2 linked regions of the Mytilus edulis genome follow. The protein of the gene in region 2 purifies or fractionates together with the protein of the main gene of each other region. This does not show direct contact. Links are inferred from orthologs where the notes say so. Each region holds a gene or a part of one and is shown on either strand. Other genes may lie near its edges.

What was found.
Region 1: the proteins of cell division cycle 5-like protein (region 2) and pre-mRNA-splicing factor SPF27-like purify together in Homo sapiens (co-immunoprecipitation; 8 studies listed by BioGRID and IntAct, with this or other methods). This does not show direct contact. The link is inferred for Mytilus edulis from reciprocal best matches to the Homo sapiens genes CDC5L and BCAS2.

The regions. Positions count from the first base shown.
Region 1 is NC_092356.1:71,257,531-71,261,372, reverse strand, and holds the start of pre-mRNA-splicing factor SPF27-like, read right to left. Parts: upstream 2,687-3,842; 5' UTR 2,623-2,686; coding exon 2,548-2,622; intron 1,594-2,547; coding exon 1,501-1,593; intron 392-1,500; coding exon 321-391; intron 1-320. UniProt on the Homo sapiens protein: Required for pre-mRNA splicing as component of the activated spliceosome. Component of the PRP19-CDC5L complex that forms an integral part of the spliceosome and is required for activating pre-mRNA splicing.
Region 2 is NC_092353.1:26,600,811-26,604,410, reverse strand, and holds the start of cell division cycle 5-like protein, read right to left. Parts: upstream 2,407-3,600; 5' UTR 2,297-2,406; coding exon 2,252-2,296; intron 1-2,251.

The sequences.
Region 1 (3,842 bases), on a different chromosome or scaffold from region 2:
TTTCCTTATGTTTTAAGGTGTACATACAATGTAGTTGCTAAAACTATACCCTTTGGGTAGTGCTCCACAATTAATGGAGGAATATACAAGAAACTGAACTGAACCTGTCAAAATATAAAAGGGGTTTAAAAGAATACTGCATGAAGATGTTGGTTTAAACCTAATCATTTGAGTCTGTAGTGTGTGTATTGAACCGCTAGTGTCAATTTAACTCATAACATTTACAAAGTCTGAAAGACATCAACATTTCTTGTGGATATTCTAAATATTTCTTTTTTAATATACATTAAATGTAATTTTGATTAAAACAAAATGTAAACCTTTTCATGTTCAACATATCCATAGGTAACCGTGACTGCATTCTTTCATACTCTGTTTTCATTATCTCTGTCTGAAAAAACAACAAATAAAGCATTTTTATAAAGTGACTGAAAACAAAATTTTCGCTTGAAAAAACATGAATGATTTACAACGTAACTGCCTATCAAAAATAACCATTGTATCTCTATGTCATGTTCCTTTCACAAATACTGCACTCATGTAGGCTGTAAGAGTGGCTTTTATTTCTTTGAACATTTATTGCAATATGAATGTTGGAGATGAATATCATCGTGTTTTACCTTGTCCACCAAATACAATGAAATAGATCTTTTCTAATAAAAAATTTACCTAAATATTACTATTCATGGCCAAAGTAAAATTATGTTGATTCATTGCACTGAGCCACTCGCATTGTTAATCTGACAGTAAAACTATGTATTTATTTAAAAGCCGCTTAGAAAATTGTATCATATATATTCTTGAAATAGTATTGTATAACATATTACTTCTGTTCATTTTTGTATATGTTTGTTTGCAATGTTCTTTAGACTTTACAATAGATTATCTAAATTTTAAAAATAAATAGGATGCTTCTCGGCTACAATCTCAAAGAATGGCTAAAAAGACTTCCTTTGAGTTGGAGGACCATAGCTATATAGATATAAAAAAAGATGTGGTATGACTATGATTGCCAATGAGACAACTCTCCACAAAAGACTAAATGACACAGAAATTTACAACTATGGGTCAGCTTACGGACTTCAACAATGAGTAAAGCAAATACTGCGTTGTAAGCTATAAATCTGATAATCTGTATTTTCATAGGCAATGTCATTGACACATGCTTATGGTACCAGAGGGTTTTCATTCTACTCAACTTCAAATTTTTTTTCAGTCATGTAGCTTTAAATGAAAAATTACCAAATAAAAAAATTTAAGTTTAATCTACCATGTCTACTGTATACATCATTATTTGCCACAGCATGAATATTTAATGCAAATAATGTATTCATTCATGAAGGGGGATAGGACCTTAATCGGGACTCCGGGATCGGGTGTTTCAGGATGTCAGGATTTAAATTATATTATTTACTCCCCCCCCCCCCCCCCCCAATTCATACCTCAAACTAAATACATTTTTAGAGCAGGTAAAATTTCTAAATATATTTTTGTAATTACCTCGAACTGTAGATAGTTAGGAGCAGGTAAGTATTCTAGATAATTCTTTGTAGGTCTGTATCTTCTGGTTTCTTCATCAACCAAAGCAAGAGCCTAAAATTAAATTATACAACACATAAAAATGAGGCACAAAATTTAAGCCTAGACTTAATTCCTTAAGAAAAATTGTGATTTTTATATTGAAATGTCCAAGGATTCTAATCAAGGAAGTTTGTTTTTCTGTTATCTTTTAAATTATTCCTTTATCGATTTTAAGTATCAAATCATCAAATATAAAAAGGCGTCAAAACAAAATAAAGAAAGTAGCCTTTAACGGGGGCTGTATTAGTCAGATTCCCGTATCCCGCTTTAATACACTATGTACGTAAGCAATTCTTATTTTTTGGTTATTTCCTGTGACCCACTAGAATTCATTTCCCGTTTTCAAAGCACAATAATTTGACTTTCACATGTCACACTTTATGTTACCAGACAGCATGTATATTGACTGAGCTAATGAAGTACTTTCTTAGTTCAACTGCTTACGGCTGACTAAGGATCTACCATATCACCCTTCCCCCACCTCCAGAAAGTCTAGTCATAATACCATTATAACTCTAACACATATACAAATGTACCCTAGATAGAATTCTTCTCTTACCACTGTGGGTTTTTTTAGTTGGGCGCTAATGTAACTCGGTCTGCAGAGACACAGGCACTCATCTCCGAAAAAAAATTTCTGAGACGAGTGCCTGTGTGCAGATCTAGAGAGTATACAATTCATTACAAAATTGCTCGTCTCGACTCCCACTGGGACATCTGTGTTACAAATACAAGGCAGTTCAACTGTATCAGTTCCAGGCAGAGCATATACCGAGTAAGCTATAGAATTAAATTACTTCCTTAGCAAAATATATTTATATAATTATATATATATTTTTTTTACTGCATAAATAATTGCGACTTCTCACGTGTATGAAGTTTTAACTTGAGAGGCCATTATAAGTGGGTCATGAATGAATAAACAGTAATTTGTATTTAATTTGTATTATCTTTGATTAAACTTACGGCTTCTCGAACACCTGGTTCGTCATATCCTTGGTCAAAATAAGGTAAGGCATCGACAACAACTTCTCCAGCCATTGTATACTAAGGGGAGATAACTTAATATTTCTGCTATCTCGGGCCATAACAAACTCGGCCTATAACAAATTCGGCCCAACCCATACAATCGGACTATAATAAGCTTTGACTATTACGACCGTTAAATCAGACAATAATTATGATGATGGGTGCTATTTACTTCATTTGAACACAATGAATAGTAACAACCAAAATATGCACATTCAATTTTTTTTTACTATTTTACTTTAAGACGAAATCATTCCATTCTTAAATTTACGGATGCCATCAGGAGTTGGTTGACCTTTATGGAATATAAGTTTCACAGATGTATGATTGCAGATGTGTCCCATATGTCGTAACTACAATCTTTTCCCTTTTTCACAAAATTTTCCTAACAAGTAGGACTTGTTACAGGGTTTGTACTAACATGAACGACACAATGGGCGACACATGTGGAGCAGGATCTGCTTCTTCTTTCGTTAATCAGCAACGGAAAAATAGCATCACGCTGATGCTGTGTCATCAAGTGCAGGTGCTGTACAATTTGTGATCAACAAAACCGAAAAGTAAATACTGTTACCCTTCCAGAACACCTGAGATTACATCAGTTTTTGGTGGGGTTCATGTTGCTTAAGTCTTTAATTTTCTATGTTGTGTGTTTTATGTACCATTGTGTTTGTCTGTATATCTTTTTCTTTTTAGCCATGGAATTGTGAAGTATAATTTTGATTTATGGGTTTGAATGTCTCTCTGGTATCTTTCGTCCCTCTTTTATTGTGTTTTGAATATTAGATAGTTTATGCAGTACGTCAGCTATTTTTTTATTGCATGGTATAAAAGCTGTTCGGCAGGGTTCATCTGACATATTTCTAATTTTCATCACCCATGATAGATCAATGATAAGTTTTTTCTGGTTGTCTGTTTTTTTAGATACTACATATAACTAATATACCTAGGCTGACTTTATTTAATGTATGAAATGATTGATTGATATTGATTTTGGTGTTTTAACACATTTCTTTTGGGCTATTTGGTGGTGGTCAGTTTTTATTGGTGGATGAAGCATAGAAATCCACAGACTTTGGATAGGAAAACTGCAATTCTTGTCAATTAAGATTGGAGTCAAGTCCACCTGCACGAGCAAGGTTCAAACTCACATTAGAGTTGACTGGCTAGTGATTACTGTGGTAACAATTTAGACCACTTGACCACTGAGGTCCCATGAAATGATTGAATTG
Region 2 (3,600 bases):
ATAGGCCATGACTGAGGAGCAGGGTCAATTGATTTCTATAGAAATGAAAAGTGTCAATGAATGATTATACAATTGCATACTTTATATCATTGGTTTAACATAAGTTTTTCCCATTAAACTGGCCTACTTTTAAGTACTAAAAGGCATTTTATAAACTGAATTTTAATGTTGGTATTGCTGTGTGTTCTTCACTTTTGCTTCAGTCCCAAGTCAGGAACCTCTGGCCTTTAATTTGTTTGTCTTGAATGTTTTTTATTTTTTGTTCATTTATATGTTTTGAAGTTTTCACTGAACTAGAACACATTTTTATTTAGGGGTTAGCTTATGCCCACCTCAAGTGCAGGATTTTCTCCCTGCATTGAAGACCCATTGGTGGCCTTCTGCTGTTATTTGGTCGTGTAGTTGTCTCTTTGACATATTCACCATTTCTTTATTCAATTTTACTAATCAATTTACTGTTGACCATGCTGTAGAAACAGCATAACTATAACTTACTCTTACTCTTATATTAATCCACCATTTTTTACATACATGTAAGAATGGTTGGATTTTTTTTAATACATTTGTCGATATTTACATGTACCTGCCTGTCCTTGACATTGCAAGAGATATCTTTTGAATCAGAAGCCACATAAAGGTGAATTTTTCACAAATTCTGAGGTTCAGTGTTGCAGATTCCAACATAGTCATTACAGTATATCAAAAGGTAGCCTGCTACAGAAATATCACTAGACATACAACTGGGTAGTAATGCCCTTTACAGTCAGGCGTCAACTGTCAATTTTCGGCTACTGTTAGCGTCAAATTGATTAAAATTTTACTGTGATTTGTAAAAATATCCTTATTGTGATTCGTCAGAGGGCTCAAATAATTAACGTTACCGTTATTTTTGGAAATAAATAAACGTGATCAACTAAATCTTTATTTTTTTATTGTCTACATGGTCTAAAAAAGAAAGTGCACATTTAATCGTCATGCACCAAAAATTACTGTTAACGTCATTTGGCAACAATTTTAACTGTTATTCGTCATGTCCATTACCACCCTTATACAACAGTATCAATATTAAGAATGTTTGATGTAAACGCCAAAACAAAAACATGCACTGTTGTAAAACAAAAATGTAAGCGTGTGTGAACTGATAAACTTCTTCTTCTTCTTCTTCTTCTGATATACAGTTACAGCTTCATTATTATTGAAGATTACGAACTGTTGCATGCGCGGAGTATATGATTAAAAAATATGAACAAAAATTTATCTTTAACTTAGTAGAATACTTGGTGATATTTACATGAAAGAAAACAACAAGTGATTAAAAAATATGTACATTGTTATTTATAGAATTAAATTATGTTGTGGAGAACAGTTGGTGTCAACTGATCTCTGTAAATTTCAATGGTTTGACTTGCTACCACAACTTGTGGCAACATGTTCCATTGAATGATTGTTTGCGGAAAGAATGACCATTTGTAGCTGTCTTTAGAGGTGGATATTTGCCGAAATGTTTGAGTATGTCATTTTCTTGTTCTAGTATCTGATGGTATGAGGACTAGTGATGGGATTGCAATGAGTCCATGGATGACCTTGTAGAACATGATAAGTCTGGTTTTGAGGCGGCGCTCACTGAGTGAGGGCCATTGTAGTTCGTTTAACATGGATGTAACGCTACTGGTGTTGTGGTAATTGTTACATACATATCGGGCCGCACGCCTCTGTACCATTTCTAGCTTATTTTTATAATCTGCTGTGTGTGGATCCCATAGACTACAGGCATATTCGAGTTTTGGTCTCACTATTGATTGGTAAGCACGGGATTTGATACTGGAGTTAGAAATTTTTAAGTTTCGCCTAAGAAAGCCAAGAGATTTATTTGCATTTGATACGATGTTGTTGTAGTGAATGTTCCATTTTAAGTTAGACTGTAGGGTTACGCCAAGATATTTTGCAGATGTTACTAGTTCTAAAGTATGGTTATGAAGGATGTAATCGTGTTTAAATGGTTGTTTTTTTTGTGTGATGGTTAAGATAGTGCATTTTCCAGGATGGAAGGCCATGAGCCAATCAGCCTCCCATTTCGCTGCTGCGTTAAGATCTTTTTGTAAATTTGTGCAGTCTTGTTGACATGTTATTTCTCGGTATATAATACTGTCATCAGCGAAGAGTCGTAGTTTGCTGTGTTCCAGGTATTCTGGAAAATCATTAATGTATATTAAAAAGAGTAAAAAACTTCCAATAATGTATGGACATTTACCTCCGTGTTACGCCAAACACCTCCTTTTATCATAATTCTCGGCATCTTGGCCTTTCACTTCTTAGATCTCTGTAAAAGGTGCCTAAAATGTAATTGTCTAAAAGTTTTTTTTTCCAATAACGTTGGGTATAATAAATTTAGCTAATAACCAAAATTAACAACGGACACGAATATATTTTAGATACACAACTCTATATATGATGATTGACTGCATTTCTGTACAGTTTTATTATTCTTCATATATTTTGTATAGTTCTGATATTTAATATAACCAAAATTAATCATTTTAAGAACAAAATTCGATAAATACATTTTATTTTGGTAACATGCTAAAAATGAACACTTTATTCTTCTGCAGCCTAATAGAAAGTCTAGAGAGAATCGAACGATATTTCCCCGCCTTTTTGAAAATAGCTGGATAAGCAGCCGGATTGTTTACACATCGTTTCCCAATCCTTTCTCAGATACAAATACAGTATAAAAGAACATATTTTTTTTACAGGAAAAAACGTAGTTCAGGATGGTCACCTCATCTTCCTGTTAGAATCATTGCAGATGAGGTGGCCACAATCAATTTGAACAGTTGAAAAAAATTATCTGAGACTATAACACATAGTAGTCTCAGGTTGAATGCATAGCAAATAAATTATTCTGAGCTCAAGGCATCATGTGAGCCATTACCATCACTGTGCCCCCTTGATTACTTTGCAGTTTCTTAATCAAAACATTTGAAAAATACCTGCATGATCATATGATTCATATTTGAATGAAACATCTTAATGATAGTCCATTGGCCAACTATCTATTTGATTCTATTATACAGAAATTGCTTCTCTTTTTCAAATATGACTGGTTCTATATCGTACAAATTTGGGGTCTGTCCTCAAAAGGCAAAATAAGTTGAATATGAAATATCAGCATTTGAATAATTCTGGAAGAAAAAAATGAAAAGCGCAACGGTTACCAGAGTTCCTGTCAACGTATATTTGTTCCACCTAATAGAAGTTCCAGTGGAAACTTTGTTATAAACAATGTCATAATACCTGTACCTGATGGAACAAATATTTTATACATTGGTTAGAGGTATAGGGGGAGGGTTGAGATCTCACAAACATAATTAACCCCGCCGCATTTTTGCGCCTGTCCCAAGTCAGGAGCCTCTGGCCTTTGTTAGTCTTGTATTGTTTTAATTTTAGTTTCTTGTGTACAATTTGGAAATTAGTATGGCGTTCATTATCACTGGACTAGTATATATTTGTTTAGGGGCCAGCTGAAGGACACCTCCGGGTGCGGGAATTTCTCGCTACATTGAAGACCTGTTGGTGACCCTCTGCTGTTGTTTTTTATTT